2 linked regions of the Arabidopsis thaliana genome follow. The protein of the gene in region 1 interacts with the protein of each later gene in a pairwise test. Each region holds a gene or a part of one and is shown on either strand. Other genes may lie near its edges.

What was found.
Region 2: the proteins of UBQ10 (region 1) and ATCRT1 interact in a two-hybrid assay, tested with the Arabidopsis thaliana proteins (one study listed by BioGRID).

What each region holds. Positions count from the first base shown.
Region 1 is NC_003075.7:2,715,916-2,721,016, reverse strand, and holds UBQ10 (polyubiquitin 10), read right to left. Parts: upstream 3,041-5,101; 5' UTR 2,763-3,040; intron 2,475-2,762; exon of another isoform or gene 2,459-2,474; coding exon 1,085-2,458; 3' UTR 709-1,084; downstream 1-708. Other genes in the region: AGD13 (ARF-GAP domain 13), read left to right, coding at 1-245; AT4G05310 (Ubiquitin-like superfamily protein), read right to left, coding at 5,005-5,101. UniProt on the Arabidopsis thaliana protein: Ubiquitin exists either covalently attached to another protein, or free (unanchored).
Region 2 is NC_003076.8:22,815,457-22,820,349, forward strand, and holds ATCRT1 (RING/U-box superfamily protein), read left to right. Parts: upstream 1-2,023; 5' UTR 2,024-2,301; intron 2,302-2,764; 5' UTR 2,765-2,797; coding exon 2,798-3,988; 3' UTR 3,989-4,274; downstream 4,275-4,893. Other genes in the region: ACA8 (alpha carbonic anhydrase 8), read left to right, coding at 4-54, 319-372, 596-706; AT5G56350 (Pyruvate kinase family protein), read right to left, coding at 4,798-4,893.

The sequences.
Region 1 (5,101 bases):
TAATGGGAGAAGCAGATATTGATATACAACCTTTGATAACATCTGCAATGGCTTTTGGGGATCCAGAAATGTTTGGGGATATGCAGATTGGGAAATGGCTAAAATCGCATGATAACCCATTAATAGATGACAGTATCATTAACATTGTTGATGGGAAAGTGAAACAGGAGGTTCAGATCAAGCTTCAGAATGTAGAGTCTGGAGAATTAGAGCTAGAAATGGAATGGCTGCCACTTGACCAATAAGTGTCATATAGGTCTCATAACCTTTATAAATGTACTGATTGATTTAATTCTTTGTTTTTTTTTTTTCTCTCCATTTGTTGGAAATTTTCAAAAATCTCTTTGCATTTTTTTCCTCATTTCAGAGGTAAATGTATTTTGATGTTTGTATAAACCAATGGATTACTATATGATGTTTTGATTGATGGAAAAAGGGTGAAATATCCACTTATGTAACATACACTTTCACTTGTGATCATCAATTTACTTGAGAGTCGTTTCTTCAAAGTTTCAAACTTTCCACAACAGAAACTCTACTTAAGATGATCAAGGCATTGTCAAATGAAATGCTTTGGAAGGAAGAAACTGCCTCTCCTTCGTTAAACCAAGCTCAGTATCTTGCAGTTTCCTCTCATCAGACATATCAATGCTTGGACAAAGGTACGAACCATTTTCTACATTTGTGGGACATTACAGGCATTTCTTAGCAACAACGAATGTTCATCATACTCAGAACCTAAAAGATTAACATGTTCAAGCCATCCTTAGAACCCAACAGCTCAACACTTTCGCTACATCTATTACTAGAGGCCAACAATTGGACTATTTACAAGTTTCGCAGAACTGCACTAAACAGAGTCGAGTCACTTTGCAGGCGTATTAAACAAAAGAAGCACAGATAATAAAAACGAAGCGATGATAAAGAAGAAGTTCGACTTGTCATTAGAAAGAAAGAGATAACAGGAACGGAAACATAGTAGAACACTTATTCATCAGGGATTATACAAGGCCCCAAAACACAAACCACCAAAGTTTTACATGAAACGAAACATTGAACTTCTTAAGCATAACAGAGACGAGATTTAGAAACCACCACGAAGACGCAGGACCAAGTGAAGAGTAGACTCCTTCTGGATGTTGTAGTCGGCCAAAGTACGTCCATCCTCAAGCTGCTTTCCAGCGAAGATGAGACGCTGCTGGTCCGGAGGAATACCTTCCTTGTCCTGGATCTTGGCCTTGACGTTGTCAATGGTGTCGGAGCTTTCCACTTCAAGGGTGATGGTCTTTCCGGTCAAAGTCTTGACGAAGATCTGCATACCTCCACGCAGACGCAACACCAAGTGAAGGGTCGACTCCTTCTGGATGTTGTAATCCGCCAAAGTACGACCATCCTCCAATTGTTTTCCGGCAAAGATCAACCTCTGCTGGTCCGGAGGGATTCCTTCCTTATCCTGGATCTTGGCCTTCACGTTGTCAATGGTGTCAGAGCTCTCTACCTCCAAAGTGATAGTCTTTCCGGTGAGAGTCTTCACGAAGATCTGCATACCTCCACGCAGACGCAAGACCAAGTGAAGTGTGGACTCCTTCTGAATGTTGTAGTCAGCCAAAGTTCTTCCATCTTCAAGTTGCTTTCCGGCGAAGATCAATCTCTGCTGGTCCGGTGGGATACCCTCTTTGTCCTGGATCTTGGCTTTCACGTTATCAATGGTGTCAGAACTCTCCACCTCCAAAGTGATGGTCTTTCCGGTGAGAGTCTTCACGAAGATCTGCATACCTCCACGCAGACGCAAGACCAAGTGGAGTGTGGACTCCTTCTGAATGTTGTAGTCGGCCAAAGTTCTGCCATCTTCAAGTTGTTTTCCGGCGAAGATCAATCTCTGCTGGTCCGGAGGAATACCCTCTTTGTCTTGGATCTTGGCTTTCACGTTATCAATGGTGTCAGAACTCTCCACCTCCAAAGTGATAGTTTTCCCAGTCAACGTCTTAACGAAAATCTGCATACCACCACGGAGCCTGAGAACAAGATGAAGGGTGGACTCCTTCTGGATATTGTAGTCAGCAAGAGTTCTGCCATCCTCCAACTGCTTTCCGGCGAAGATCAGCCTCTGCTGGTCCGGAGGAATACCCTCTTTGTCTTGGATCTTGGCCTTGACGTTGTCGATGGTGTCAGAACTCTCCACCTCAAGAGTAATCGTCTTTCCCGTTAGGGTTTTAACGAAAATCTGCATACCACCACGGAGCCTGAGGACCAAGTGGAGGGTGGATTCCTTCTGGATATTGTAATCAGCCAACGTACGGCCATCCTCTAGCTGCTTGCCGGCGAAAATAAGCCTCTGCTGATCCGGAGGAATGCCCTCCTTATCCTGGATCTTGGCCTTAACGTTGTCGATGGTGTCGGAGCTTTCCACCTCGAGGGTGATTGTCTTTCCGGTGAGAGTCTTAACAAAGATCTGCATCTGTTAATCAGAAAAACTCAGATTAATCGACAAATTCGATCGCACAAACTAGAAACTAACACCAGATCTAGATAGAAATCACAAATCGAAGAGTAATTATTCGACAAAACTCAAATTATTTGAACAAATCGGATGATATCTATGAAACCCTAATCGAGAATTAAGATGATATCTAACGATCAAACCCAGAAAATCGTCTTCGATCTAAGATTAACAGAATCTAAACCAAAGAACATATACGAAATTGGGATCGAACGAAAACAAAATCGAAGATTTTGAGAGAATAAGGAACACAGAAATTTACCTTGATCACGGTAGAGAGAATTGAGAGAAAGTTTTTAAGATTTTGAGAAATTGAAATCTGAATTGTGAAGAAGAAGAGCTCTTTGGGTATTGTTTTATAGAAGAAGAAGAAGAAAAGACGAGGACGACTAGGTCACGAGAAAGCTAAGGCGGTGAAGCAATAGCTAATAATAAAATGACACGTGTATTGAGCGTTGTTTACACGCAAAGTTGTTTTTGGCTAATTGCCTTATTTTTAGGTTGAGGAAAAGTATTTGTGCTTTGAGTTGATAAACACGACTCGTGTGTGCCGGCTGCAACCACTTTGACGCCGTTTATTACTGACTCGTCGACAACCACAATTTCTAACGGTCGTCATAAGATCCAGCCGTTGAGATTTAACGATCGTTACGATTTATATTTTTTTAGCATTATCGTTTTATTTTTTAAATATACGGTGGAGCTGAAAATTGGCAATAATTGAACCGTGGGTCCCACTGCATTGAAGCGTATTTCGTATTTTCTAGAATTCTTCGTGCTTTATTTCTTTTCCTTTTTGTTTTTTTTTGCCATTTATCTAATGCAAGTGGGCTTATAAAATCAGTGAATTTCTTGGAAAAGTAACTTCTTTATCGTATAACATATTGTGAAATTATCCATTTCTTTTAATTTTTTAGTGTTATTGGATATTTTTGTATGATTATTGATTTGCATAGGATAATGACTTTTGTATCAAGTTGGTGAACAAGTCTCGTTAAAAAAGGCAAGTGGTTTGGTGACTCGATTTATTCTTGTTATTTAATTCATATATCAATGGATCTTATTTGGGGCCTGGTCCATATTTAACACTCGTGTTCAGTCCAATGACCAATAATATTTTTTCATTAATAACAATGTAACAAGAATGATACACAAAACATTCTTTGAATAAGTTCGCTATGAAGAAGGGAACTTATCCGGTCCTAGATCATCAGTTCATACAAACCTCCATAGAGTTCAACATCTTAAACAAGAATATCCTGATCTGAAGAATGTGGAGGCTTTAGTCCCTTGGATACTTGGGAGGCTGTGGAAGAACAGAAACGAGCTGGTGCTTAAAGGGAGGGAATTTGGAACCAATGAGGTATTAGTAAGGACACAAGAAGATGCAGATGAGTGGATTAGAAGGAAAGAGGCTCAGAATGTAAGGAAAGCACCAACCACAACACCGTCGGGACAGACGAGAAACATGGGAAGCTCCACCACAATCTTGGGTTAAGTGCAACTTTGATGGGGCATGGCCAACAGAAGGATTAAAATGTGGCTTAGGGTGGGTGCTTCGCGATCATACAGGGAAGGTGTTATGGTTAGGTGCAAGAGCTGTGGTAAAAGTAAGAAGCGTGCTGGAAGTAGAAGTGGAGGCTCTTAGATGGGCTGTGCTGTCATTATCCCGATTCAATTATAGGAAGATCATTTTTGAGGTGGATTCTCAGCAACTTGTGTCTTTGGTTACATGAAAGTTATGCTTGTCAAGTCTCAATCCAATTATCCAAGACATAAAGTATCTACTTAGCAAGTTTGAGGATTTTATGCTTGTGCATACAAGCCGAGAAGGAAATGGAGTGGCAGATAGAATAGCTAAGGAATCTCTTTCTTTTGAGAATTATGATCTAAAGTTGTATTCTATTGTACCAATTTGGGTTAAAAGCTCTGTTGAGCTAGACTGTGTATCCATAAATGGGTGAATGGAAAGTTTGTTGTTGAGCCAAAAAAAAAAAAAAAAAAATCATCAGTTCATCATATTGGTAGTCTTGTTTGATAAGTTCTGCTTTTTTTACCTTCCAGTTTTGCCATTTGATGTTGCAATGAGATTTCTTTTGCTAATGTTTTAAAATAACAAAGTTGTTGCTGCTAGTGTTTCCAAGTTGTGTTTGCTGAAATTAGGGTTTGTAACTTATAAGAGAAGCTTGATCGCTGCTTTCGACTAAAGGGAATTCAATAACAACAAGTTTACTTGAAGAAAAATATTAAAACCTAGAAGAAAAGAGTTACACCTACAAATAGGATAAAATCCACATAAATTTCTGTTACTAAATGTATCATAGTTTTGTTTCTTCTATGTATCTACATATACTCAAAAATTTCAAAGCATTGTGACTTAAGGGCCAGAAGAAAACTTGAAGAAAGATTAAAACCTATTAGCAAAGAGTTAAAGATCCACATAACTTTCTGTTGCTGAATGTATCATAGTTTTTGGTTTCTTCTGTGTCATATATACAGACTTTCTACAGAACTTTTTGAGCACAAAGCATTGTGACTTTAGAGCCACGAGTAAAAGACGAGGCAAAATGTGTATCACGTCCACTAACCATATAAACTGTT
Region 2 (4,893 bases), on another chromosome or scaffold:
TAGTTGGAAAAACAATTGAAGAAGATAACTGATACACATGCGTCCGAGGAACATGTCGGAATCATTGATCCCAAAAAACTCAGTTTTGAATAAAAACATTATTATAGATATTCCGGATCACTTACTGCTCCTCCATGTTCTGAAAATGTTATTTGGTCCGTTTCCAAAGAGGTAACTATTAATTATTTTCAATCCCGTCCATTTGGTTTATATATATATAGCTATATAGTTTTTCATTTCAATCTATGATTATGTTATTTTAAATAAATTACCTAGTTAATTAATATAGCAATGTCTTATGTTGTAATAAACTTTCAGATTCGCACTGTGTCAAGTAAACAAGTGAAGCTTCTCCGTGTGGCTGTACACGATGTAAGTTTCTTTCTTCTTTTTCTGATTTATTATACAGTATAACAATATTAGCAAACTATCATATTAATACTTATATAAATATCTGAATTGCATATTTCTCAAGATATGAGTCTGTAGAGCATAGATGAGACTACTTATGGTCTATATAATATTCAAGATAAGACCATCATGTTTTATCATCCAATTGATTTCTTACTTTTCAGTTTTTGAAAATATTTTACAGGCTTCAGATTCAAATGCCAGGCCGCTTCAAGCAGTCAATAAGCGCAAGGTATATTTATACAAACCAAAGGTTAAGTTAATGAAGAAATACTGTAATATAAGTTCTTACTAGTAATCTTTAATTCTTTATATATGTACATTATGAATTGTACACTAAAATGATGTTTTTAGGGATAAACTGATGACTTGGTTTTGTTATTTAAAAATAGTCTCCCACTCGTGTTATATAAAATGGTTTTTATGTTACTTATTTATAAGCAAACCCTCTTTACCTAAAGAAGGGTATGAAACAACACAGTCTCAATTTCAATTCTCTTGGTAAGTGCTAACTATTAGTGTTATGTTAGGGATCAAATTAGTTTCAATTCTCTCAGATTCAGTTTATGTGGTAGTAGGGCACATAAGTTAATGAGCGCATGAAAAAACCGAGAATTGATCACACAAAATTTCTAGCTCATACATCTTCATTAGCCTTTTGTTTAGAGCAATCCTCTTCTGTCTAAACAGTGAAGATGTGAAGTCATGTGTAGAAACCACCATTATTTAAAGACGAGTCAAAATTTATTGGAAATTTTTCACAAACGAAGCTAAAACTACAAAAAAAGAAAAAAAATCAGACTTACCTCGGCTCTAAAACTTTACCAGTACCATATTCGGGATGGTGAACCACAACCGCGCTGGAATGAACCAAGTTCAATTTTATCGAGTCTTGAAACTCTCGAATGGATACAATATTATGGAACAAAAGAAGAGAAACAAGTAGCTGCATTCATCTTAAGAAACGCAAATTTTTCGAAGAAGCAACTTTCTCATCTAAACCCACCGATCATAACAAGAAATCTAAGATGCTTAAAAAGTTGTCATCATCGCCTATCTGTTCTCGTACTTGTCAGCTTCTATTTCTTTGAAACTATGGTCAATATGTCAAGTAACAATCATCTTTGTTTGGTTGGTGCATGTATGATTTTGAAATCTTAGTTAAGCTATTGGGAGACGTTATCATGTTGAAAACTATTCAAGTCCTGATATTTATCGTATCATAAAATAGTGTGTAAACACATTATTGAAGAATGTAACTAACGGATATATATACACTCAATCTGAAAATAAAGTTCACGCGTCTTTAATTTTCTTTAATCTAAGAAGTCAACATCAAACGAATATTTACATATAATTTACATAGAAGAAGATACTACTTGATATTCTCAATGCAACTAGAATATACATACAACTAGTCAATATAATAAAACCAAACAAGTAGTTATGAAAACTCGATTAAACGAAGACCACAGGCGTTGAATCAGCTACTGGTAGATTAGTAATAAATAAACCTCAAAATTAGTGAAGGAAGCAAAATAAAAGACTATAATTAACAAAAAGTCTTAAAACTTGATTAATAATTAAATGAAAGATTAATAAAATGCTAATTAAGAAAAGGACATAAAGTAAGAGGAAACAAGGAACGAGTTGGGGGGTTAGAAGAGGACGTGGTTGGGTTGTTTTCTTTTGTTTTGTTTCCTTCCACTCTTTCTTCTTCTTCATTTCCTCTTTCTTTCTTCTTCCTTCTCCATTTTTTCTCTAATCGTTGGACAAAAAAGATTGAGCCTTTTTCTGGGTTTTATTTTCTATAAAGGAATCGAAAGAAGCAAGGACAGATTTTAAAAAAAAAATCTTGGGTTTTCAAGAAAAAGTAGAGACATTTTAAAGGTATGATTTTTATGTTTGTTGTGGGCATGTAAATTTCTGGGTTTATCTTTGTCTCATGTATTGTGTTTCTTTATTTGAGAAAATTTATGACAAAGGAAGAAAACAAAAAGCTAGAAATTTGATTCCTTTTTAAGGGTTTTGTTTTCTCTCTTTGATCTTTTACAAGATTCTGGGTTCTTCAGATGTTTTTCTCCTTTTCTGGGTTTAATTCTTTTTGGGTTTTATCCAAATTTATGTAAAAATCTTGACTTTTTCCTCTCCTTTTTCAAAAGATGTTCTTGTCTGAATTTGATTGGTCAAAATCATTTAATTTGGATTATTAATGACAAAATCTACCCATTTAGATTGATACTTGTATAAAAGTTATAACCTTTGAGGGTCTTAGATCTGAAATTTAAAACCAAATTGGTAGATGATAAACAAAATTTCTAGGGTTTCATTGTGTGTTCTTCTTGTTTTGCAGAATCAATAGATTTGTGGGGGTGAAGTAAGGAACATGGAGGAAACAATGGCAGCTAGGTATTGGTGTCACATGTGTTCACAAATGGTGAATCCAGTAATGGAATCTGAGATCAAATGTCCCTTTTGCCAAAGCGGATTCATCGAAGAAATGAGCGGTAATGGCGGTGGAGGTGGTGGCAGAGGCATAAGAGATGTTCAAGATTCAGAAACCGATTTTGGAACAGACCGTGCATTGTCTCTATGGGCACCAATCTTGCTTGGAATGATGAGTAGTCCTCGAAGACGAAGAAGGTTTAGAAGATCAGAGTTTGGTGAAGAGAATGATGATAATGGTGATGACTTGACTACTAATGCTGATGGGAATGGGAATGATAGTAACAACAGTAATAATAACGTGTATCGTCATCATCGAGCTAGGAGACATGGTGGAGAGATTGATTTAGATAGAGAGTTTGAATCTATCTTGAGGAGAAGACGAAGAAGCTCAGGGAATATATTGCAGTTGCTTCAAGGGATTCGTGCAGGGATTGCTTCTGAGTATGAAAGCTCTGATAACAATTGGGATAATTCTCGAGAGAGGGATAGAGTTATAATGATTAATCCGTATAACCAATCGCTAGTTGTTCCTTCGGATCAGAATCAGAATCATCCTTCATTGACTTCACTTGGAGATTACTTCATTGGACCTGGTTTAGATCTTTTGCTTCAGCATTTGGCTGAGAATGATCCTAATAGGCAAGGGACTCCACCTGCTCGTAAAGAAGCTGTTGAAGCTTTACCAACGGTTAAGATAATGGAACCTTTGCAATGTTCTGTTTGTTTGGATGATTTTGAGAAAGGTACGGAAGCTAAAGAGATGCCTTGTAAGCATAAGTTTCATGTTCGGTGTATTGTTCCCTGGCTTGAGCTTCATAGTTCTTGTCCTGTGTGTCGTTTTGAGCTTCCTTCTAGTGCTGATGATGATGATGAGACTAAGACTGATTCCGAGAGAGTGCTGAGAACAAGAAATGTTCGGGAAACGAGTAACGGAAACGTTGTTGAGAATGTGGGAAATGCGGATAGAGGAAGAGAGGATGAGGTGAGGAGTGGAAATGGGAGACGGTTTTCGTTTCCATGGCCGTTTAGTGGATTGTTCTCGTCTTCTTCTTCTTCGTCTTCTTCAACCTCTGGATCTCAATCTGGTGAGAACAATTTCTTCTCAAGATCTTCTGGTTCTTCTCGCTGAGAGCAAAACAATCAAAAACTAAAACATCTTGGATTTTGTTATTGTTCTTCATCTTTTGTTGTTCTCTCATTTTTCTAGCTATTGAACTTGTTATTTCCTCTGCATTTCATTCTCTGCTTTACTGTACATAGAAATGATGTTCTTTCACTCAGACTGTTGAAAAACAAATATCCATTGTTGGTGTACAGAGATGATCAAATTTCAGTTTCCATTGTTTTAGTTTTCAAGTATGAAATTATCTGTCAATCGAGTCCAAATAATGACGAAATATATACAATGATTCAATCTTTCATGTTTTTGTACAGAGATGATCAAATTATGTGTGTCCATTATCTTTGTTTTTAAATATGAAAATTATATTTTCAGATGAATCCCAAATAATGATGGGAATTTTACAAAAATGGAGATAATGATGAGTCTTTGTCGGAATGATTTTTGTATGGGACGATTCATGCGCTGTCTTCTTTTTTGTCTTTCATGTCCCTGTCATTGTAAGATTATAAGAACATGAAACATAAACATATTTTCACCATTGTATTGGCGTATACATAAGAAATACTTGAGAAACAAAAAGAAATCATGATAATTGATACGTGTATGAATGATCCAATAGGTTTCAATACAACCAAAATATCCCAAAAGGAGCTGTTAAGTGGATTCACCGGTCACAGTAGTTGTGGTAATAAGCAAAAAATAGAACTTGAGTTTTCTATCTCAAGATTTTAATCACAATCTTGAATAGTTTCATAATAAAACGTTTAAAGTAGCGTTCCCCAAACGCCAAAAACGTGAATTTTTGAGTGGAATCATCACTTGACGGTCAAGATCTTGATCACGGAAGCATTACCGACTCGGAGTAGAGCAACAACGGAATCTCCAGTCTTGCATAGCTCTTTCTCTTTCCC